Callithrix jacchus: one gene and its partners. The protein of the gene in region 1 purifies or fractionates together with the protein of each later gene. This does not show direct contact. Links are inferred from orthologs where the notes say so. Each region holds a gene or a part of one and is shown in the gene's direction. Other genes may lie near its edges. The genes, in order: CDC25A, CCNB1 and SKP1.

Region 1 (8,162 bases):
CAAACTCCTGGCCTCAAGCTCTCCTCCTCAGCCTCCCAAAGTGCTAGGACTGAAGGTGTGAGCCACTGCACCCACCCTTTTGAACCATTTTAAAACTCAAAAAGAGGTGAGGTTATGGCTGGGCACAGTGGCACCAACACTTTGGGAGGCTGAGGCAGAGGGATCATTTGCTCAGGAGTTTCAGACCAGCCTGGGTAATACAGCAAGACCCCATCTCTGCAAAAAATAGGAGGTGGGAGGATTGCTTGAGCCTGGCAAGTTGAGGCTACACTGAGCCGGGATCATGTCACTGTACTCCAGCCTGGTTGACAGAGTGAGATTCTGTCTCTCTCTCTCTCTGTCTCTCTCTCTCTCTCTCTCTCTCACACACACACACACACACATACACACACACACAGGTTATACTTGTATACACTTCACCTGATTTTATTAATATTTGTCACATTGGCATGTACATGCTCTACACACAGTCAACTACATTAGAACTTGACACTTGTAACTGTCATAAGTCCTTCAAGCATCTGTCTCTGAAGGATGAGTGCTTTGCCCTGTAAGTTACGACATGCATAGGTAATATTTGAGCAAGAATTTAGTGGTCATTCATAAAAGCAATTATTCACTCAGCAGATTGATTGGTTTGTTTGTTTTGGTTTTTTGTTTTTGAGATGCAGTCTTGCTTTTTCACCCAGACTGTAATGCAGTGGTGCGATCTTGGCTCACTGCAACCTCTGCCTCCCAGGTTCAAGCAATTCTCCTGCCTCAGGTTCCCAAGTAGCTGGGACTACAGGCGCATGTTACCATGCCCAGCTAATTTTTGTGTTTTTAGTAGAGACGAGGTTTCGCCATGTTGACCAAGCTGGTCTCGAACTCCTGACCTCAAGTGATCTACCCACCTCGGCCTCTCAGAGGAAAGATTTGGGATTGACAGGCAAACTCATTTTAACTACAGGCAAATGCTTCCAGCTACGTGCTGCTGAGGAAGCTGCTGCCCATTCTTCATGACTGGAGCAGTTACCATAGGCCCCAAACCACTGAGCTTCAAGAGAAATCAGATATTCTTGCCTCTCATGTACCAAATACTTTTCTAGATACTGAGGGAGAAAAGCAGTGAACAAAACAGACCAAAAAATCCCTGCTTTCGTGGGACTTACATTTCAGAGTACATAGGCGTTCAAGACCAGCCTGGCCAAGGTACTGAAACCCCATCTCTACTAAAAATACAAAAATTGGCTGGGCACAGTGGCTCATGCCTGTAATCCTAGCACTTCAGCAGGCCGAGAGGGGGGTGGATCACCTGAGGTCAGGAGTTCAAGACCAGCCTGGCCATCATGGTGAAACCCCATCTTAAAAAAAAAATAAATAAATACAAAAATGAACCAGGCATGGTGGCAGACACCTGTAATCCCAACTATGCTGGAGGCTGAGGCAGGAGCATCTGTTGAACTCGGAGGGTGGAGGGTGGAGGTTGCAATTAGCTGAGATCATGCACCACCGCGCTCCAGCCTGGAGGACAGAATGAGACTGTATCCAAAAAAAAAATAGTGACTGGGCACAGTGGCTCATGCCTGTAATCCCAGCATTTTGGGAACCCAAAGTGGGTTACCTGAGGTCAGGGGTTCGAGACCAGCCTGGCCAACATAGTGAAACGTTGTCTCTACTAAAGAATTAGCTGGGTGTGGTGGTGGGCACCTGTAATCCCAGCTATTAAGGAAGCTGAGGCAGGAGAATCGCTTGAACCCAGGAGGTGGAGGGTGCAATGAGCTTAGACAGCACCACTGCACTCCAGCCTGTCAACAGAATGAGACTGTCTCAAAAAAAAAGAGTTCTTCAGAGGGAAATAAGGTGGGAGCTCCCAGGCAGGCCAGAGGGACAGTAGTGGGCCGCAGGGGCTGGTGTGGGATGAACGAGGGGCAGAGCAGCAGTGGGAGTGATGAGCTGTAGGCCTCTGAAGGACTCGAGGCCTTGGACTTTTATACCAAGGGCAAGACAGTAAGCATCCATCAGACAGATAAGGATATCAAAGAACATTCAGTCAAGGTAGAGGATAGAAACAGATGCCCTGAAGCAGGAGCAAGTTCAGCCTCTTTAAAAGCCACGGAAAGAAACAATCCCACTTAGGTAGAAAAAGGTGAGTGAGGGAGCCTGGCTGAAGGGAAGGCTGGGGTGGAGAATGCAAGAGGAAGCTGGCTTAGATGGTGAAACTGTTGCCACAAACTGGCAGTGAAGGTGCTGGGCAGGACTTGGATGCTAGTGCTGTTGGAGAAAGGAAAGTTGGGGAAGAGGCCATCTACTGGCACTGGCTATGAATGCTGCTCACATGGCCAGGAACTTGCAAATCAGCACTGATGGTTCCTAAGAATAAATGTAAAGTTGCAAAGATGCGTAAGGGGGACCTAAACCACAACTGCTGCTTTGACTGCGTTGCTGCGGTGTTGCTCTGGGTCAAAGGAGGTAACCCTGCTTTGGCCTTCCTTCCCCTGACTAGGTGCCGGTATGTCAGAGAAAGAGATCGCCTGGGTAATGAATACCCCAAACTCCACTACCCTGAGCTGTATGTCCTGAAGGGGGGATACAAGGAGTTCTTCATGAAATGTCAGGTAAGACTGGGGCTGTGGAGAGCATCCCTTTTCCCCACCCCTAATGGTAGACCAATGAGCCTGTCTGGTGATGATGACTTTCTTGCCAGGGGTCTGGGGACAAGGTAGGTATCTGCTGAGCACAAAGAAGGCCTCTATAGAACTGGTTGCCCAGATCTGCCTGGCTGCTCCCAGCCTTGTAGCCTTAGGCAGAGAGGAAACCAGGTTGTGGTTATGACGCAGGTGTGCCCTAACCTCGTTCTCTCCTGTCCCCTCAGTCTTACTGTGAGCCCCCCAGCTATCGGCCCATGCACCATGAGGACTTTAAAGAAGACCTGAAGAAGTTCCGCACCAAGAGCCGGACCTGGGCAGGAGAGAAGAGCAAAAGGGAGATGTACAGTCGTCTGAAGAAGCTGTGAGGGTGGCAGGGCCACCCAGCAGCAGCCCGAGCTTCCCTCCATCCCCCTTTGCTATAGAGGAACTCGAGCAAAGGGACCAACTGTGTGACATTTGGAGAGGGGACCTGGGACTTCCACGCCTTAAACCTACCTCCCACACTCCCATGGTTGGAGCCCAGGGCATCCTGCTGGCTACGCCTCTTCTCTCCCTGTTAGATGTCCTCTGTCCATATCAGACTGTGCCACAACGTACTGTGTCAAGCTGCTCTGAGCCACAGTGGGATGAAGCAGCCAAGGCCATATTGGGCTCCAGCCTTCTCATGAGGGGAAAGGAGACGGGAGTAGAGAAGTTACACAGACAGAAATGCTGCTGGCCAAATAGCAAAGACAACCGGGGAAGAAAAGGTCTTTGGGATAATCTGTATCTTTAATTTATTCAACTTCATCAATCACTTTATTTTATCTTACTCCTGGAGACTAATCTGACTGCTTCATTAGGTTGGAATACTGCCATTCTAGGTAGGGTTTTATTACCCCAGGACCTACCTTGGCTTTTAATTTTTTTTTTTTTTTTTTAAAGAAGGGGGTAAGAAAATGCAAACCTGTTGTAAGTTATGGGACAGAGAGCTAAGTGCTCTGTCACCCCAGGAGGTGCTGCGGTACTGGGGCTGCTGCTATTTAAACCAAGAACTGAGGTCCTGGTGAGAGGGAGCGCTGGACCCAGACTTGGCTGCCTGACATAAGCTAAACCTCCCAGACCCACGGCTGGCCACTGAGATTTATTTGGTGGGAGGTGTGGCCCTGCTATTCCACACTCCAGTTCCCTGTGACATTGGCTGGTATAGGAGCTGTAGTCAGGAAAGCACTTGAGGCAGCTTCCATCAGGCCACCCCCTGGTCAGTGCTGGAATGTTGCAGTGTAGGTTTCCCAGGGAAGGGGGGTAGGGAGGAGGGCTCCACAGGATATGGGAAGAACATGTCCACTGAGTGTCTTCCTTATTTTGCTGTGATACTGTTTGATAGCTTTTAATTTTTAAAAAATGGTCATATTATGAGTCAAGGAGTATCAAATCAGTGTTGGATGCGCCACCCAAGGGTGGGGAGTGGGTGCTGGCATGGACATGACTGGATAGGATTTTCTCAGGAGGGAGCTTGGTGGATTTTGAAGGTAAAACTTTCTGGGTTTATCATGTTTTAATTTGAGGGACAGAGAGTGATGAATCATCACCAGTTGCCCCCTTATCTAACCCCATAGAAGTGGGTATTTCAAAAGAACACTTCATCCAAGGAGCTGGGGCTGACTTCATTGATTCTAGAGAGGCCTGTTTCAGTGCCTACTCATCCCTGCCCTCTGGTGCCAGCCTCCTTACCATCACAGCTTCATTGAGGTATAGACAGGTTTTTCTTATAACAGGAGACCTTCTCTCCCTCTTACCTCAACTTCCTATTCTGGGGTTGGGAGAATCAGTGATACTGGAGATGACTAGTTGGTGTGTTAATAGGTTTGAGTTGTATTTGGCCATAAAACAACCTTGTTGGGAAAAGTATGGGGGAGAGGACTTCTTCCCACACACGCGTTAAGACAGATCCCAACTGGTTAATGATCTTGTTGTAAGAAAAAGATTGTTGGTTGAGTGCTTAAAGAGAAAGGTGGGATGGCCTTCAGATTATACCAGCTTAGCTGGCATTGCTAACCAACTATTGCAAGCTCTGAAAATAAAAGATCTTGAACCCATGCTCTCTGCTTAGTTCTTGATAGATTTAAAAAGAATTACATTTCCCTTTAAGGTCCTCGGACCACACTTAACTAAAACTAGTGTTTGGGATAGCTACATTTCTTCAGGAAGCCAAAGGGCTCTCAGATGGCCTGGGTCCAAGGATGACTAGAACAACCCTCAGTTATTACTCTGAGTCCAAAAACTTGTGGTTCAGATAGATTTGCAAGATAAATGGGCATGTTAAAAATGTGCCAACCGCAGAGGCTCCTACCTGTTATCCCAGCACTTTGGGAGGTCAAGACAGGCAGATCACTTGAGGCCAGGAGGTTGAGGCTGCATTGTCTGCACACAACCAGTGATGCTGGGGGCTACCGGGGACAAAATATATAGGGCTGAAGCACAGAGGGGCACCCAGAATGGAAAATGTGTTCCTTTATGTGTGTGTTGGGAAATGGGGTTCAGGCATATTTGATATTTTTTTGAGGCAGTCTCACTGTCACTCAGGCTGGAGTGCAATGGTGTGATCTTGGCTCACTCTAGCCTCTACTTTCCAGACTCAAGCAATCCTCCTACCTCAGCCTCCCAAAGTGCTGTGATTACAGACATGAGCCACCATGCTTTTTTAAGATTTTTTTTTTTTTTTTTTTTTTTTGAGACGGAGTTTCGCTCTTGTTACCCAGACTGGGGTGCAATGGCACAATCTCGGCTCACCGCAACCTCCGCCTCCTGGGTTCAGGCAATTCTCCTGCCTCAGCCTCCCGAGTAGCTGGGATTACAGGCACATGCCACCATGCCCAGCTAATTTTTTGTATTTTTAGTAGAGACGGGGTTTCACCTTGTTGACCAGGATGGTCTCGATCTCTTGACCTTGTGATCCACCCGCCTTGGCCTCCCAAAGTGCTGGGATTACAGGCTTGAGCCCCCGTGCCCGGCCGCTTTTTTAAGTTTACTTTGAACAGGTATATTTTCCTGGATTGTTGCAAAAGTGAGCTGGCTTCCTGTCTGACCTACCCTTGCCACAATCAACTTTCTAAAATTGCAAATTAAGTCAACCCATTCTTGAGAAATTAAAGGTTTTTTGTTGCCTTTAAATGAAAACTTCAACTCTTTAGTTCGTATGCTAAGATATACCCTCAGCCTTAGCCCCTGCTTGTTTTATGCTCCAGTAACAGGTCAGGATTCTGTTTCTAAAATGCCCCCAGCTCTGAAACTTGATTGTTACAGCTGGAAGCCTGCCATGCGGAAAGTTTGCATTTACTAGAGGAAAATTTATGTGTGGACACCTATTAGGTCAAGCGTTGGTTAGCTCAAAACCATGGGCAAAATTTATTTAAATTTTTTGGGATAACTATTCTAAGGTGTGATCTGATTCAAATAAAAAATTTTTAAGTATGACAGATGCATAAAAAAAATTCACTCCTATTTCATACACCAGCTTAAGAACAAACAGCTTGGCTGAAGCCCCTTGCCTACCCTGACTTGATCATAAACTCTTCACCCAACCCCTGTAGGGTAACCATTATCCTTCCCTGCCATTATGATTATTTCCTAAGCAAGAAGATAATTTCATTTTTTAAAATTTTTTTCATATTTTAAAGCTTTACAAATTGTGCACCTATAATTGCATCTACTGGGAGGCTGAGGCAGGAGGATTGCTTGAGCCCAGGAGTTCAAAACCTGCCTGGGAATATAGTTAACCCCATCTCTTAAAAACAATCTCTGTTATGTGCTGGTTCATCCGTGACTCACTTTGATTTTTATTTCTCTGCTTATCACACTTAAGGGCACTTGGCTCCAGGAAGGGCAAAGTATGAATCATCATTAGTGACTCAGGCTACATCTCTCCAGCAGAGGAACCTGGAGTAAGTCACTTCTCCCTCTGGGGACTTTCTTTGCAAAATAACAAATGCATTTGAACTAGATGTTCCCGCTAGGGGCAGTGGCTGACACCTGTAATTCCAGCACTTTGGGAGGCTAAGGTGGGCGGATTGTTTGAGCCCAGGACTTCTTGACCAGCCTGAGCAACATGCCAAAACCCCGTAGTTATTAAAAACACAAAAAAATTCAGCCAGGCGTGGTGGTGCATACCTGTGGTCCCAGCTACTTGGGAGGCTGAGGTGGGAGAATCACCTGAGCCCAGGTAAGTTGAAGTTACAGTGAGCCAAGATTGTGTCACTGCACTCCAGCGTGAGTGACAGAAGTGAGACCCTGTCTTAAAAAATTTTTTAAAACTAGATAACTAAATGTTCTCTGTGACTGCCCCTGAACCAACATACCATGGCTCTAACATTTGGATGACCCCTTTGCATACCCCAATACTCACTTCAGATCTACTTGGAAGAAGGACCTCCTTGGTCCTTCTTCCAATGAGGAAAAGCTGTTTCTCTCATTCAATATGTTTGACTTGTGCTGAGCACTGAGGATAAGGACCTTTGTAAGATGCAGGCATTGTCTCAAGGCACTCACTGGCTAGTGGGAGAAATAGTCACTAAAAGATAATGAAGTCTTAGGTGTAACATTTCCATATAACAGAAGCTAGGATAGAGAGAGGTCCAGAGGAAATGGGGCTCCAGAGCAAGAAGTGATCCCAGAGGAGGTGATATTCAACCCTAACCTTCAGCAGGAGTCTCATGAGACAGTGTTCCAGGAAAAAGAAACTGTTCAAAGAGGAAATACCATGCATTCATACCTGTGGACGAGGTAGGAGAAGTCTGGCGGGGGAAACCCTGAATGCCGTTCTGAGTCTGTAAGCCTCGGGATCTATGATAGCAAGACTTCTCAAACACGTGGGAAATTTGTTAAAATGCAGATTCTGATTCCACAGCTCTGAGTCGGAGCTTGAGGTTCTGCATTTTTTTGTTTGTTTGTTTGTTTGTTTTGAGATAGTCTCACTGCCACCCAGGCTGGAGTGCAGTGGCGCAATCTCAGCTCACTGCAACTCTGCCTCCCGGGTTCAAGCGATTCTCCTGCCTGAGCTTCCCGAGTAGCTGGGATTACCGGTGGGCACCTCCACGCCCAGCTAATTTTTGTATTTTTAGTAGAGACGGGGTTTTACCATGTTGGCCAGGCTGGTCTCAAATTCCTGACCTTGTGATCCTCCCACCTCGGCCTCCCAAAGTGCTGGGATTACGGTGCCCATAATCCCATGGTGGCATGAGCCACCATGCCCAGCCAGAGGTTTTGCATTTTTAACAAACTCTCAATACTGCTGATCCACTTGCCACCCTTTGAGCAGCTAGCCTGTAGAGTGTTTGAAGGCAGAAGTGTGAAGCCGTGTAATTGCTGAGAGCAAGACAAAGGATGGATAATGGGTAAGGAATGATGATAATTACCGTCACAGCTGAAGCTGGGGCATGAGAGGGAAGGGCATTAGGCACTGGGATCTGGTGATGGATGGGTAGGTGGGAGTGAGGGAGAGGCATGGATTTAGGATGATGTCCTGAGGTCTTAGGTGTAACATTTCCGTGTAAC
Region 2 (8,394 bases), on another chromosome or scaffold:
TTTTTGTATTTTTAGTAGAGACAGAGTTTCTCCATGTTGGTCAGGTTGGCCTCAAACTCCCAACCTCATATGATCCGCCCTCACTTTGAGAAGCCATGAGCCACTGTGCCCAGCCAGTCTTATTTCTTTACTTAACTTTGTCTATTAAATTAAGAGCCCTTGAGGATGCAATGAAGTCAATGCCTTGCAGAGTTTGACTTGAAGAAGGCGCTTAATACATTTTTGAACAGTGGGATAAAGGGAGTTCAAAGGAAATGGTTAATGGTGATGGAGTTAGTTAATCTTTACTAGTCAGGACAGAATTTGTGTTCTTTTGAGTAGTGAGAAGCAGTTTATATTTTGAAATAAAGACTAAAGACTGAATTATCATTTATTTGGATTAACTTCACATTTTGCTCATAAAGATTAATTAATTCTCAGTTTCCTTTGGAGGGAAGTCTAGATGTGAATTCATTGGCTTCCAACTTTAAACTGACTTTAAGTTGGCATTTCACTCTTTTTTTTTTTTTGCCCAGGCTGGAGTAGAGTGGTGTAGTCATAGCTCGCTGTATCCTCAAACTCCTGGGCTCAAGTGATCTCCTGCTTTGGCCTCCTGAGTAGCTAGGACTACAGGCAACTGCCTTCACCCTGATGCCCATATAATTTAAACATTTTGTTGTAGAGATGAGTTCTTGCAATGTGGCCCAGGCTAGTCTGGAACTCTGGTCTCAAAGTATCCTCCCACCTCAGCCACCAAAATTACTGGGATTACAGGCTTGAGCCACTATACCCGACCTCATTCTTTTTATTTGAGCAATTAAATGAAGACTTTTTTTTTTTTTTTTTTTTGACAGAGACAGGGTCTTGCTATATTGCCCAGGCTGGTCTTGAACTCCTAGCCTCAACCTCAGCTTCTCAAAGTGCTGGGATTAAAGATGTGAGCCACTGCACCCAACCCAAATGATCTCTTTTGATGTTACTCACTTTCTAAAAAGAAATGGAATAAATCTGAAAAGATACTTTCCTTTCAGGAAATAATTTGTATGTCATTTCAGCAGAATACTATCTAAAGTTGAAACCAATAAACTGACCTTAACTATAGTGCTTACTCCTATTTGCTATTGTTTCAAGAGATCTCTTTGTTTCAAGGTTGACACTCCCTCTCTAAGCCCAATGGAAACATCTGGATGTGCCCCTGCAGAAGAAGACCTATGTCAGGCTTTCTCTGATGTAATTCTTGCAGTAAATGATGTGGATGCAGAAGATGGAGTGGATCCAAACCTTTGTAGTGAATATGTGAAAGATATTTATGCTTATCTGAGACAACTTGAGGTCAGTATTATCATTTGTTGTTGTTTTTTTTCTTTTTCTAAACTGCTTCTAACTTTATGAAAGTATTTTCTATCAATAGTTTATAATAATTCAAGCAGGATGTGGGCAGCATTTCTTAAGAGTAGATTGCACTTTCAAATTCTCCCTCTTGGAATACCTAAAATAAAAAGTCACTAAACCTACGACGAAGTCTGTTTGCCACTCTGTGTTGTCAAGTTCAAAGTTAGCATGGATACTACTATTGATCTTCCTAAAGGAAAGTCCACAGATTGAATTTGATATGTAACTATGCCATCTCCTTTGCAGTTTGAATGGTTAAGTCCCAAACTCTGCATTTTAGGCAATAATGAATGGGTCAGGAAGTGGATGAGGATGTAGACTATACTGAAAGACTGTAGCCACCCCTAACACAAGGCATTTTGTGTTAGTGTGGCTGATGTGCATCCAATTGTTGGTGAAATTATTTGTGCCCTAAAGGAGTTTTTGGTTCAGTACGCTCAAAAGCTAGTTTTTGGTTCATTTCAATTTGATCCCACTTTTGAAACTTTCTGTTAATGGCATTTGCCCTTTCCCCACAAACACAAGCATTCTATATGGCAGCATAAACATACTAGCATAAGCTATACCATATTTACCCAGTTTGTTTGTTTTTTTGTTTTATTCACTCTGTCGCCCTGGATAGAGGGCAAGCTTTACCTCTTGGGTTCAAGCAATTCTTTGCCTCAGCCTCCCGAGTAGTTGGGATTGCAGGCACATGCCACCATGCCTGGCTAACTTTTTGTATTTTTACTTGTTTTTTAGGTTTTGGTTTTGATTTTTTTTTTTTTTTTTTTGAGACAGGGTCTTGCTCTTTGCTCTGTTGCCCAGGCTGGAGTGCAGTGGCACAATTTCAGCTTACTGCAACCTCCGCCTCCTAGGTCAAGTGATTCTCATGCTTCAGCCTCCCGAGCAGCTGGGATTACAGGTGCCCACCACAACACCCGGCTAATTTTTGTATTTTTAGTAGAGATAGGGTTTCACTATGTTGGCCAGGCTGGACTCAAACTCCTGACCTCAGGTGATATCCTCCCCGCCCCACCCACCTTAGCCTCCCAAAGTGCTGGGATTACAGGCATGAGCCACCATACCCAGCCCGCAGTTGTTTTTATGCATTGTCTTATGTCATCATTGACATATTCATCTCTTTCCTGCTCCTTTTGAGCCTCTCCATTTTTTGTAGGTTCTTTGTTTGAGACAGAGCTTCACTATTCCTCCCCAGGCTGGAGTGCAGTGGTGTGATCTCTGCTCACTGCAACCTCTGCCACCTGGGTTCAAGCAATTCTCCTGTGTCAGCCTCCCAAGTAGCTGGGATTACTGGCATGCACCACCACACCCCTCTAATTTTGTATTTTTAGTAGAAATGGGATTTCTCCATGTTGGTCAGGGTGGTCTCAAACTCCCGACCTCAGGTGATCCAACCACCTTGGCCTCCCAAAGTGCTGGGATTACAGGCATGAGCCACTGCTCCCAGCCCTCCTTTTGGGCCTCTTCTTTTTCTATAGGATTCTTCTGCAAGAAGAGTTCTTTCAGGAGCAGCCTTCTACTTTGGGTTTCTTCTCACGTCTTGTACTTTTTAAAGTTGTGTTCTAACTTTGGAGGATTAAATTTAGTAAATGTGCTGTTTCTCGATGCTTCATTCTTGTTCTGTGAAAGGCCATATATGCAGAGCAACTCCCCCCAAATGTCAAAGGAGCCTAGAAACCAAGGAATAAGGCAGATAAATGGAGTTTGTTGGTATTGGGTGACTGATTAGGAGAAATTTACAGACAGAAGTATGGTCTCGTGTGGCTGAAAGATGTAGATCTCTGCACTGTAACTCCTCATACCCAGGGCTTGGGTATGTATACGTTTTCTTGGGGAAAGTATACATGCTCTAGAAGGAATGTGTGAGTGGCTATGGGAATGCTGCTGACATCACAGCCTATAATGTATATGATAGTATCAAGGGCTGTTTTGGAGGAAAGGCCAAACTTAGTGAACAGGCAGAAGTCACATGGAATTAGCATTTAAAATAAAGTCACTCTTGTCCCCACAGTTCTTAGCTATGTTGCTGTTGGGGTTTAGCCCTGGAGCAGGCAGAAATATTGTAGTACATGGGTTCCAGCTTCTCTGGGAGGTACTGATATTTTCTCTACATAAAGCTCAGGCTCTAGGTTTAAAGGCCTAAGTGAAAAGATCTGAGATGACAGTATAGTATCTTTATTTGGAAGGAAGTGGGCCAGCAGCAGCTGTGGTGAATTGAATATTGTAAGACCTGACAATATAAAAAAGCTGTCACACTGTCCTATCTAATGTCTTTTTTTGTTTGTTTGTTTTTTGTGGTTTTGGAGGCAGTCTTGCTCTGTCACCCAGGCTGGAGTACAGTGGTGCAATCTCAGCTCCCTGTAGCTTCCACCTCCTGGGTTCAAGCGATTCTCATGCCTCAGCCTCCTGAGTAGCTGGGACTACAGGCGCGAGCAACCATGCCCAGCTAATTTTTGTATTTTTAGAAGAGATAGGGTTTTGCCATGTTGGCCAGGCTGGTCTCAAACTTCTGGCCTCAAGCAATCTGCCCACTTCAGCCTCCCAAAGTGCTGAGATTACAGGTATAAGCCACCATGCTGGCCTTAATGTTTGCTTTCTTTCTTGGTGATGGTGTTTGTGGTGACTCTATGAATAACTGAATTAAGAACTTACATAGGCTGGGCGCGTTGGCTCACACCTGTAATCTCAGCACTTTGGGAGGCTGAGGCAGGTGGATCACCTGAGGCCAGGAGTTTGAAACCAGCCTAGCCAACATGGTAGAACCCTGTCTCTACTAAAACTCCAAAAAAAAAGCATTAGCCAGGCATGGTGGCACATGCACTCAGGAGGCTGAGGCAGGAGAATTGCTTGAACCTGGGAGGTGAAAGTTGCAGTGAGCCAAGATCGCACCATTGCACTCCAGCCTGAGCAACAAGAGTAAAACTTCATCTTAAAAAAAAAAAAAACTGATATTCTAAATGCCCCAGTGCTACTGTAGGAAGTAACTGATCTTTAATATATTACATGGAATCATGTTTCTAAGAATAATCAGCATTTTCTTTTACAGGAAGAGCAAGCAGTCAGACCGAAATACCTACTGGGTCGGGAAGTCACTGGAAACATGAGAGCCATCCTAATTGACTGGCTAGTACAGGTCCAGATGAAATTCAGGTTGTTGCAGGAGACCATGTACATGACTGTCTCCATTATTGATCGGTTCATGCAGGTGAGCATTTCAGTAAAAGTTTTCCCTGTTGGGATTCTAGCTGTCATAAGAAAATGACTTTCAGCTAAGATCTTTCTTGGAGGATTTGATGTTATTAAGATTTTGCTATGGAAGAATGACTGTCTGTCTACCTCTTCTCCATCATAGCTCTGTGTCTCCTTTTCACGTATTTTATTCATCCTGTTAAAATTCCCATTGCAGAATAATTGTGTGCCCAAGAAGATGCTGCAACTGGTTGGTGTCACTGCCATGTTTATTGCCAGCAAATATGAAGAAATGTACCCTCCAGAAATTGGTGACTTTGCTTTTGTGACTGACAACACTTACACTAAGCACCAGATCAGACAGATGGAAATGAAGATTCTAAGAGCTTTAAACTTTGGTCTGGGTCGGCCTCTACCTTTGCACTTCCTTCGGAGAGCATCTAAGATTGGAGAGGTAAAGGTTTCTTGAGAAACCTTTTGGTATGGGTACATTAGGGAACACTGCTGCTGACCAAGCAAGTCGAATTCAATTAAGTTGTATTATACCTAACTACATGGGGAAGGGATAAAGATGTTCTTTATTTCTAGTTGGGCTGCATGTTAATATTAGGGATTTCCATGGGCACTTGCATTTGAGTTTGTAGACAAACATTTGTAGTTAAAGATACATATGGGTATCCTTTCCAAAGGAAACTTTTCTGAAAGAAGCTCAGTGATGGGTTTTGTTTCAGGCTGATGTTGACCAACATACTTTGGCCAAATACCTGATGGAACTAACTATGTTGGACTATGATATGGTGCACTTTCCTCCTTCTCAAATTGCAGCAGGAGCTTTTTGCTTAGCACTGAAAATTCTGGATGATGGTGAATGGGTAAGCTCTGTCCCACAAAACTCCTAAACTTTTAAATTGTAAAGAGTATTTGACTGAATACAGGACTTTTGTTACTAAAATCCACTTCAAGTGGTTCATAAATATGGGATCTACTGAAGGAGTAGTTTAAAAAGATGTCTTAGAATGTTTCTACTTCTTTTTGTTTTTAAGACAAGGTCTTGTTCTGTCACACAGGCTGGAGTGCAGTGGTGCGATGCTGGCCCACTGCAACCTCACCCTCCCCTAGCTAGTTTTAATTTTTTTCATGTCAGATGGGTAATATGCCCACATTGTAACAAGGTTTGAGGGTAGCATATTTTACACGTTCACGTGAACACCCAATCATCACACTTATGAACTACAAAAGTGTCGCCCACCAGCCTGGGCAACATAGCAAATCCTCATCTTTACAAAAAATATTTAAAAACATATATATATATATACACACAGGCACATGCCTATAGTCCCAGCTACCCTGGAGGCTGAGCTTTGTAATTTTTGTAGAGACAAGGTCTCCTATCTTACCTAGGCTGGTCTTGGGCTGGGCTCAAGTGATCTGCCCACCTCCACCTCCCAAAGTGGTGGAATTATAGGCATGAGCCATTGCAACCAGCCAAGTGTTTCCATTTCTTTGCCTAATTTCAACTTTATTCCCTTTGATAAAGGTACAATAACTTCTTACAGATGGAGAAACTTGAAGCTCAAATAACATACTAGTAGTTCATATTCATTCATTCATTCAACAAATGCTTCTCCTATCTTAGGAATGGAACTATGACAAAGTTGGCCTCAAGGAAGTGGAGTCTAGTTTTAGCAGGGGGCAAGTCAGCAATTACAATAATGAAATTAGGTGTGAGCACAGGTTCCTATGGAAGCATGAGAGCACCTATTAAAGAGTCTTAGGCTTTGTCTTAAATTTCAATTATATTAATAATTAGTTATGCAGTACTCATCCCTTCCCCACTCCTGCATAACATCTAACATCTAGAAATTTTATGAAAATCATTACTGATTGAGCATTTTTAACATTAACTTTTGTTGTCTTAGACACCAACTCTACAGCATTACCTGTCATACACTGAAGAATCCCTTCTTCCAGTTATGCAGCACCTGGCTAAGAATATAGTCATGGTAAATCAAGGGCTTACAAAGCACATGGTGAGTCAATCTAGTGGCAGTGTAAGATGTTGAAAAGTGAAAAGAATGCAAACATCATGCCTGCAAATGCCTGGTTTATTTTGAATGAGTCAGTATTTTAAATGAATACCTGTATCATTGGATCTTGTGACTTTTTTTCCCCCTCTTTAATGCTTTTGTCTTCCAGACTATCAAGAACAAGTATGCTACGTCGAAACATGCTAAGATCAGCACTCTAGCACAGCTGAATTCTGCACTAGTTCAAGATTTAGCCAAGGCTGTGGCAAAGGTGTAACTTGTAAACTTGAGTTGGAGTACTATATTTACAAATAAAATTGGCACCATGTGCCATCTGTACATACTACTATTGCATTTACTTACTTTTAATAAAGCTTGTAGCCCCTTTTACTTTTTTATAGCCTAGCTCATTTGAATGTGGTTACTTCCTACTGTAGGGTAATGGAAAAGTTGTTTTAAAAGGTATGGTGGGGAATATTTTTAAAAACTGCTTTTGGTTTATCTGGGGACCCAATATGTTTATATACTTGGTTCTTGTTTTATGTACCTGGCTTTTACTTTATTAATATGAGTTACAGAAGGTGATGGAGGTATTTGAAAACTTTACTTCCATAGGACATACTGCATGTAAGCCAAGTCCCTGCCACCATGCCCAGCTAATGTTTTTTCTGTATTTTTTTGTAGAGATGAGGTTTCACCATGTTGGCCTGGCTGGTCTTGAGCTCCTGACCTCATGATCCGCCCGCTTCCCAAAGTGCTGGGATTACAGGTGTGAGCCCGGCAGCTCTGTTTTTAAAGTAAAAGTCTACCACCTCATCCCTAGTCCCCTGTTTTCTGTTTTTTCTGGTGATTGCTCCCATCATTCTAAGCTAATTACTTTTACCACTATTTAAGTTATCAACCTTAGCTAGTGTCTTTTCAAACTTTCACTTTGAAAAATGAGAACTTATATTCTAAGCCCAGTTTTCATTTTGTTTTTGTGTTTTGATTAAGAAAATAAAACAATACTCAAATACAAAAGGTATCTTTTTTAAAAAGTTAATTTGACCCTTATCCTCTTTCCAAATCCCACCCATTTGAAGGACATCAGCAATTATGGATTTATCCTTCCATGTCTTGTATAAATATAGATGTGCATATGAATTTTTATGGGTTTATTTAAAATGTGGTTCATTCAAAATGTGGTTCATCCTATATTCATAACAATTATTTTCCTCACATAAGCCTACCTGTATTTGTGCATTATATTACATAGTACAGATAAATAGTCATGTGCCCCATGAACATGTTGGTCAAACATAGACTACATATACAATGGTGGTCCCATAAGATTATTATACCATATTTTTACTATACCTTTTCTGTGTTTAAATACAGAAATACTGACTTGTGTTACAATTGCCTGTAGTATTCAATAACAATGGTGTATAAGTCTGTAGCCTAGGAGTGTAGTAGGGGTATGCTATCTAGATTTGTGTGAGTCCACTCTGATGTTTGAACAATTAGTCACCTAATGACATTCCTCAAACCATAGCCCAATCATTAAGCAACACATGACTAATGTATTCAACCATTTCCCCTGTTCATTCAGACTGCCTTTTTCTCTTTGCCCCTACAATTTTGTTTATATGTTGTTTTGTACCATGTTTTTATGTATTCTTGGTTCCCTAAAACAAACGTGCATTTTGAATTTTGACAGAACCAGATGACATCCAAAAGTACCAGTTTTCTCTGCATTATTAAAACAGGCTGGGCCTGGTGGCTCACCTGTAATCCCAGCACTTTGGGAGGCAGACAAAGGCAG
Region 3 (8,394 bases), on another chromosome or scaffold:
ATGGAATCATATAATATTAGTCATTTTGTATCTGGCTTATTTCACTTAGCATAATGTTTTCAAGGTTCATCCATGTTGTCTAATGGGCTTAAAAAATTGTGGTCAAATATACATAACAAAAGTTACTATCTTAACCATTTTCTCTTCTTTTTTTTTTGAGATGGAGTTTTGCTCTTATTGCCCAGGCTGGAGTGCAGTGGCATGATCTTGGCTCACCGAAACCTCCACCTCCTGGGTTCAAGTGATTCTCCTACCTCAGCCTCCTGAGTAGCTGTGGTTATAGGCGTGCACCACCATACCCAGCTAATTTTGTACTTTTAGTAGAGACTGGGTTTCTCCATGCTGGTCAGGCTGGTCTCCAACTCCTGACCTCAGGTGATCTGCCCACCTCAGCCTCCCAAAGTGCTAGTATTACAGGCGTGAGCCACCATGCCCAGCCATCATCTTAACCATTTTTTTTTTTTTTTTTTTTTTTTTTGAGAACAGAGTCTCACTCTGTTGCCCAGGCTGAAGTGCTGTGGCACAGTCTCAGTTCACTGCAGCCTCCACCTCCTGGGTTCAAGCAGTTCTCCTGCCTCAGTCTCCCAAGTAGCTGAGATTACAGGCATGTGCCACCATGCCCAGCAATTTTTTGTATTTTTTATAGAGTTGGGATTTCACCATGTTGGCCAGGATGGTCTGGATCTCTTGACCTTGTGATCTGCCTGCCTTGGCCTCCCAAAATGCTGGGATTACAGGCGTGAGCCACTGTGCCTGGCCATCTTAACCATTTTGAAGTGACAATTCAGTGGTATTATTTAATAGGCTTTTTTTTTTTTTTTTTTGGAGACAGTGTCACTCTGTTGCCCAGGCTGTAGTGCAGTGGTGCGATCTCACTGCAACTCCGCCTCCTGGGTTCAAAGGATTCTCCTGCCTCAGCCTCCTGAGTAGCTGGGATTACATGCGTGCGCCACCACACCTGGCTAATTTTTGTATTTTTAGTAGAGACAGGGTTCTGCCATGTTGGTCAGGCTGGTCTTGAACTTCTAACCTCATGATTTGTCCGCCTCGGCCTCCCAAGGTGTTCGGATTACAGGTGTGAGTCACCGTGCCCTGACTCTAATAGGCTTTTTATAAGAACTCTTTTAAAAAGTTTCTACCAGTTTGCTTATCTTAGTTAATTTATTTTATGATTTAGAGGGTTTATTTTATCTAGTTAGATCTCTTTTTTTTTTTTTTTTTTTTGAGACGGAGTTTCGCTGCTGTTACCCAGGCTGTGCAATGGCGCGATCTTGGCTCACCACAACCTCCGCCTCCTGGGTTCAAGCAATTCTCCTGCTTCAGCCTCCCTTGTAGCTGGAACTACAGGTGTGCGCCACCATGCCCAGCTAATTTTTTTGTATTTTTAGTAAGAGACGGTTTCACCATGTTGACCAGGAATGGTCTCGATCTCTTGACCTTGTGATCCACCTGCCTCAGCCTCCCAAAGTGCTGGGATTATAGGCATGAGCCACCGAGCCTGGCCAGATCTCATTCTTTATGATTTCTGAATATGCCTTACAAGTAACATTCTATTTTATACTAATGAAAAATGGTTCTAAAAGGATCTTTGCTTGTAGTCATTCAAATGCCAGGTACATTCAGATGCCATTCAAAAGCTGGGGGTATAGCAGTGAACCCAAAATCCTTATGGAGTTTATGATCTGAAGGGTTGGGGAAACATACAACATTAGAAATATATCAGATGGAAAAGCTATGGAGAATGAAGAAGGGAACGGGGAACATAAAAGGGTGAGTAGGTGAACAGTAAGCTATTTTAAAAATAAAGATAGGAGATTCCTTACTGAGAAGATGATCTTTAAACAAAGAAATGTGAATATGTGGCGGGGGAAGGATTCTTGGATTTGGGAGCAAGTGCAGTGACCTTAAGACAAGAGCATGCCCTGCCATTTCAGGAAAGACAAGGATTTTAGTGGAAGCTAGAGCACAGTGACCAAACAAGAAGGAAGTAGATAAAATCAGAGTTAAGGGGCTGGGTGATTTAGGGCCACTTGTGAGAATGAGAAGTGTTTGGTTTTTTGTTTTGTTTTGTGTTTTTAAGATAGGGTCTCACTCTGTTGCCTAGGCTGGAGTGCAGTGGTGCAGTCATGGATCATTGCAACTCTACCTCCCAGGTTCAGGTGATCCTCTCACTCCAGCCTCCTGAGTAGCTGGGACTACAGGCGCATGCCACCACACCTGGCTAATTTTTGTATTTTCTATAGAGGTGGAGTTTCACTGTGTAGCCCAGGCTGGTGTGGAACTCCTGGGCTCAAGTGATCTGTCTCCCTTGGCCTCCCAGATTGCTGGGATTATGGGTGTGAGCCACCACACCTAGCTAAGAAGTTTTTTTTTTTTTTTAAAGCCTGTTTGCATTGAATGTATATTGTATTTTGAATAATAATTACATGATGCCAAAACTGAAAGTGTACAGTAAAATTTCCCATCGTTGTCTCTTATCTGATGGGAAACTATTCCCCCCAGAAAGTAATGTGGCATTTTTTATTGTTTTTCTTTTTTACTGGCGCTACCCGTTGTGAACGTAGGCAGGCATTAGTTTCTTATATATCCTTTAAAGAGTTTTTTATTTTTAAATTTTATTATTTTTTTATTAGTAGTGGTAGTAATTTTTTTTTTTTTTTTTTGAGACAGAATCTCTTTCTCTCTTGCCCAGACTAGAGTGCAGTGGCGCAATCATGGTTTGCTTCAGCCTCAACTTCCTGGGCTCAAGTGATTCTTTTTTCTCAACCTTCTGAGTACCTGGGACCGTAGATGTACGCCACCGCCCCTGGCTCATTTTTGTATTTTTTAAAGAGACGGTTTCACCATGTTACCCAGGCTGGTCTCGAACTTCTGGGCTTAAGCATCTCTCCCACCTTACCCTCCCAAAGTGCTAGGATTACAGGTGTGAGCCTCCTCGATCAGCCTATTTATTATTATTATTATCATTTTTTTGTAGAGGTGGGGTCTTGCTACATTGCCTAGGCTAGTTTTGAACTTCTGGCACTCAGCAGTCCTCCTGCCTCAGCCTCCCAAATTTCTGGGATTACTGTGCCTAGCTTTAGAGTTTTTAAAATGCCCAGATAAGCAAATATTAATTGCCATTTGTTCCTTTTATATTATTGGAATACTGCTTAAGAAGTTTCATTAAAACCCTTTGCTGGTTAGGCATGGTGGCTCATAACCTGTAATCTCAACACTTTGGGAGGGCAAGGTGGGTGAATTGATTGAGTTTAGGAGTTTGAAACCAGCCTGAGCAACATGATGAAACCTTATCCCTACAAAAACAAAATAAAAAGATGAGCCAGGTGTGGTGGCATGCACCTGTAGCCCCAGCTACTCGGGAGGTTGAGGTGGGAGGATTGCTTAAGCACAGGAGGTCGAGTGAGCCATGATTACGGCACTGCATTCCAGCCTGGGTGACACAGTGAGTGACGCCTTGTCTCAAAAACAAATGAACAAAAAACCCTTGCTTGGCTTTGCCTTATTGAAACTGTTATTTCTTTCTTTTTTGTTTTTTTGTATCCTGGCAATATAATTTCTTGGCTCTACTATTTTCTCTCAGCATTGTTTATTTCTCCAACATTTTCCTATGAAAACGTTTTAACCATACAGAAAAATTGAAAGAATTACACAGTGGACACCTATACGGCCACTGCCTAGATTCTACAACTTAAAACACTTTAAGTATTGATTTTGGTCTTTATGTTGGTATGTAGGTAATCAGCTTCCTGAAACTTTATGAAGTCATTATTCTCTTATTAAGGGAACTTTGGGGCTTTTGCTGTTTTGTTGTTGCACCATATAGTCTTACAGATGTGTCTGGGGTATTTGGAATTTCCTGGTTACAGTATATGCACATATTCAGCTTTACTAAGGAGTGCTGGATTAGTATAAAATGGGTTATACCAATTTATACTCGAGTTCGTGTTTCCTTTCCACTATTGTCCAACAATTAGTATCAATTTCTTGATTTTTTTTCATTCTAGAGAAGTATCTGTAGTGTTAGTTTTGCTTCTAAGAAGTTGAGTGTTCCTTACATTTGACTACTCAGTTTTCATTTATTGCCTGTACATATCTTTAACCCATTTCTCTATAGTGACTTTTAAAATATTTTATATTCTCTAGGCTAATCATTGTTCTACGTTTTGGAGATATCCTCCAGTCATTGTCCTGTCTAACTTTTCTTTTTGCATAGAAACGTTTTTTTTTTTGAGATGGAATGCAGTGGTGCCGTCTTGGCTCACTGCAACCTCTGCCTCCTGGGTTCAAGTGATTCTCCTGCCTCAGCCTTCTGAATAACTGAAATTACACCGGCCACCATGCCCAGCTAATTTTTTGTATTTTTTTAGTAGAGACGGGTTCTACCATGTTGGCCAGGCTGGTCGCATCTATGACCTTGTGATTCGCCTGCCTCAGCCTCCCAAAGTGCTGGGATTATAGGCGTGAGCCACCACGCCCAGCTGCGTAGAAGCTTTTTAATGTGGTCAAGTATGGTACTCTGTCTACATGGCTTGCTTTTATCTAATAAGATCTTCTGCCTTCTAGGGTTATAAAGATTCTTCAAGCTTCATTTTTGCTTTTCAAGCTTGGCTGTTAATTGCTCAAGTCAACCTCTAGCTAGTTATTATCCCAACATAGAGATAAGTTGTCCCAGCAGTGGAATGAGTACCTTTGACAAAATGCCACTGAAGAATCAACTTGTTGTTGTAGGTCATTCAGTGGTGCACCCACCACAAGGATGACCCTCCTCCTCCTGAGGATGATGAGAACAAAGAAAAGCGAACAGATGATATTCCTGTTTGGGACCAAGAATTCCTGAAAGTTGACCAAGGAACACTTTTTGAACTCATTCTGGTAAGTTTTTTTGTTTTAATTTTTTAAATTTTTATTTATTTATTTATTATTATTTTTTTTGAGACGGAGTTTCGCTCTTGTTACCCAGACCGGAGTGCAATGGCACGATCTGGGCTCACCGCAACCTCCACCTCCTGGGTTCAAGCAGTTCTCCTGCCTCAGCCTCCGTAGTAGCTGGGACTATAGGCATGCACCACCATGCCCAGCTAATTTTTGTATTTTTAGTAGAGACGGGGTTTCACCTTGTTGGCCAGGAATGTCTCTATGTCTTGACCTTGTGATCCACCCACCTCGGCCTTCCAAAGTGCTGGGATTATAGGCGTGAGCCACCGCACCCGGCCTTGTTTTTTTTTGAGACGGAGTCTCGCTCTGTCGCCCAGGCTAGAGTGCAGTGGTGTGTTCTCGGCTCCCTGCAAACTCTGCCTCCCAGGTTTAAGCAGTTCACTCCACCTCCCAAGTAGCTGGGATTACAGGTGTGTGCCACCGTGCTTAGCTAATTTTTGTATTTTTAAGTAGAGATGGGGTTTCACCATGTTGGTCAGGCTGGTCTCAATCTCTTGACCTTGTGATCCACCTGCCTCAGCCTCCCAAAGTGCTGGGATTATGGGCATGAGCCACCATGCCTGGCATCTGGTAAGTTTTTTTTAACATATAAAATAGCTCTATTCCAGAGCCTTTAAATATTACTTCTTACAGATTTAAAATTTGCTAACTTCATTGACACTGAATTTTAATACTCTGAATTAAAATGTAATGCCATATTTAAATCCACATATCAGTAACACACTAAATGTAAATGGTCTAAACACAGTTAAAAGGCAGAAATTAACAGATCAAAAAAGCAAGATTAGCTATGCTGTCTGTAAGAAACCCACTTTAAGGAAATAGACACACCTAGGTTTAAAGAATGAAAGAAGGTAAACTATACTGACATGAATCAAAAGAAAGCTGGAGTGACTATGTTAAAATAGATGTGGAGGCAAAGAATATTACTAGGGTTAAAGGGGATTATTTTGTATCGTTAAGGGGATCCATTTTTTAAGAAGACATAACAATCATAAATGTTTATTTGCCTAGAAGAATTTCAAGAAGTGAAACAAAACCCAGAAGAACTCAAAGAAGTCCACAAATTTGCAGTCATAGAGCTTTCAGTACCTCTCTCAATTAATATAACAAGTAGACAGAAATCATGATAACTTGATATAACACTATTGACCAACTTAATGGACATTTATAAAACATTTTATCTATCTATATCTATATATTATGTATCTGTTTGAGACAGTCTCACTCATCACCCAGTCTGGAGTGCAGTGGTGCAGTCTCTGCTCACTGCAACCTCTCCTCCCGAGATAAGTGATTCTCCTGCCTCAGCCTCCTGAATAGCTGAGATTACAGCCACCTGCCACCATGCCCAGCTAATTTTTTGTATTTTTAGTAGAGACGGGCTTTCACCACATTGGTCAGGTTGGTCTCGAACTCCTGACTTCAGGTTATCCACCTGCCTTGGCCTCCCAAAGTGTTGGGATTACAGGTGTGAGCCACTGTGCCTGGCCTAAAACATTATATGTAACGATAGCAGAATACATATCCTTTTCAAGTGTATATTACCAAGATAGACCGTGTTCTGGGCCATAAAACAAGTCTCAGCCTGGAACAGTGGCTCACACCTGTAATCCCAATACTTTGGGAGGTCGAGGCATGTGGATCACTTGAGGCCAGCAGTTTGAGACCAGCCTGGTCAATATGATGAAACCCCTGAATTAGCTGGGTGTGGTGTCACACACCTATAATTCCAGCTACTTGGGAAACTGAGGCAGGAGAATCGCTTGAACCTGGGAGGCAGACGTTGCAGTGAGCCGAGATTGCACCACTGAACTCCAGCCGGGTGACAGAGTGAGACGGTGTCTCAAAAAGAAAAATCTCTATCATAAAAGGATTTACGCCATACAAAGTATGTTCTCTGCAATGGAACTAGAAATCACAAACAGAAAGGTAACTGGAAAAATCTGCAGCTTCTTTAAAACTAACACATTTGCAAATAACCTGTAAGTCAAAGAAGAAATAAAAAGAATTTGTATTTTGAGCTGAATAGAAATAAAACACATGAAAAATCTGTGAGATGCAGCAAAAGAAATACTTAGAGGGAAATTGATAGCATGAAATACCTATATTATTAGAAAAGAAAAGTTTCAAATCAGTGATCTAAGCTTCCACCTTAAGAAACTAGTAAAAGATGAAATTAAATACAAAGCAAACAGAAGAATTAGAATATATAAGGGCAGAAATCAGTGAAATAGAAAATAGGTAATAAAGTCAGTGAAACCAAAACCTGTTTTTAAAAATCAGATCACTAAATATAATGCTATAACTGCTTATTGAACTCTTTAAGTGTGGACAAATATTTTTGTCAAGATCTGATGTGGTATTTGTCAAGATCTGATGTGTGTCTGTACACACATACACAACAGTAGTGGCCATTAACATTTGAGCTAATACAGTTTGGTTAAGGAAGCAGAAGGATTCAGCATCATAGAGATGTAACAAAGGTCACATAAAAGTCTTTCATGGAGGAACTTATGAGTGATTTATTCTTCTCCCTTTAATAAAATTATCATTTTAAGCTTTATTAGACATGGAGTTTCAATCATTAACTTTAGATTTAGTTTAAAACATCAAGTATACTTTAAGGAAAACAACTATCTCTTTACAGGCTGCAAACTACTTAGACATCAAAGGTTTGCTTGATGTTACATGCAAGACTGTTGCCAATATGATCAAGGGGAAAACTCCTGAGGAGATTCGCAAGACCTTCAATATCAAAAATGACTTTACTGAAGAGGAGGAAGCCCAGGTAGGTGGCACACAGTTTTGTCTCTGATCGCATGCTCTTAAAAAGGGACTAAAGCCTGTAATACACCAGAAAAGAGGTGACTGTATCAAGTAGTCTTGATACTTGAGGGATACTAGGTAGTTTCTGTGTCTTAAACATACTCTTACTGTACTGTCTGTATGAGTCTAAACACTTACATGATACTGCATTTTTTTTTTTGAGATGGAGTTTTGCTCTTATTACCCAGGCTGAAGTGCAATGGCGCGATCTCGGCTTACCGCAACCTCCGCCTCATAGGTTCAGACAATTCTCCTGCCTCAGCCTCCTGAGTAGCTGGGATTACAGGCTCGTGCGACCATGCCCAGCTAATTTTTGTATTTGTAGTAGAGACAGGGTTTCACCATGTTGACCAGGATGGTCTCCATCTCTTGACCTCGTGATACACCCACCTCGGCCTCCCAAACTGCTGGGATTACAGGCGTGAGTCACTGCGCCCGGCCGATACTGCATTTTTAAGCATAAGAACAATTAGTTTTCAACAAGAGGAGCTCTTTCTTGTAAATGTGTTAACAGTTACTAGTTCTGGCATCTGCAGCTTTTTGTATAGACCATACATATCTGACTTCAGAAAAGCAGGCCCTAGAGAAGTGTATGCTAGGGCACTTGAGAGCAACTTAATGAGGGGA

Evidence for each region.
Region 2: the proteins of CDC25A (region 1) and CCNB1 purify together in Homo sapiens (affinity purification with mass spectrometry; 3 studies listed by BioGRID, with this or other methods). This does not show direct contact. The link is inferred for Callithrix jacchus from reciprocal best matches to the Homo sapiens genes CDC25A and CCNB1.
Region 3: the proteins of CDC25A (region 1) and SKP1 purify together in Homo sapiens (affinity purification with western blotting; 6 studies listed by BioGRID and IntAct, with this or other methods). This does not show direct contact. The link is inferred for Callithrix jacchus from reciprocal best matches to the Homo sapiens genes CDC25A and SKP1.

What each region holds. Positions count from the first base shown.
Region 1 is NC_133516.1:30,839,987-30,848,148, reverse strand, and holds the end of CDC25A (M-phase inducer phosphatase 1), read left to right. Parts: intron 1-2,485; coding exon 2,486-2,597; intron 2,598-2,854; coding exon 2,855-2,995; 3' UTR 2,996-4,708; downstream 4,709-8,162. UniProt on the Homo sapiens protein: Tyrosine protein phosphatase which functions as a dosage-dependent inducer of mitotic progression. Directly dephosphorylates CDK1 and stimulates its kinase activity. Also dephosphorylates CDK2 in complex with cyclin-E, in vitro.
Region 2 is NC_133503.1:140,367,073-140,375,466, reverse strand, and holds the end of CCNB1 (G2/mitotic-specific cyclin-B1), read left to right. Parts: intron 1-1,128; coding exon 1,129-1,311; intron 1,312-4,420; coding exon 4,421-4,579; intron 4,580-4,780; coding exon 4,781-5,017; intron 5,018-5,294; coding exon 5,295-5,435; intron 5,436-5,701; exon of another isoform or gene 5,702-5,805; intron 5,806-6,482; coding exon 6,483-6,593; intron 6,594-6,759; coding exon 6,760-6,861; coding exon of another isoform or gene 6,862-6,867; exon of another isoform or gene 6,868-6,934; intron 6,935-7,274; coding exon 7,275-7,280; 3' UTR 7,281-7,410; downstream 7,411-8,394. UniProt on the Homo sapiens protein: Essential for the control of the cell cycle at the G2/M (mitosis) transition.
Region 3 is NC_133503.1:74,170,996-74,179,389, forward strand, and holds part of SKP1 (S-phase kinase-associated protein 1), read left to right. Parts: intron 1-4,731; coding exon 4,732-4,875; intron 4,876-7,588; coding exon 7,589-7,729; intron 7,730-8,394. UniProt on the Homo sapiens protein: Essential component of the SCF (SKP1-CUL1-F-box protein) ubiquitin ligase complex, which mediates the ubiquitination of proteins involved in cell cycle progression, signal transduction and transcription.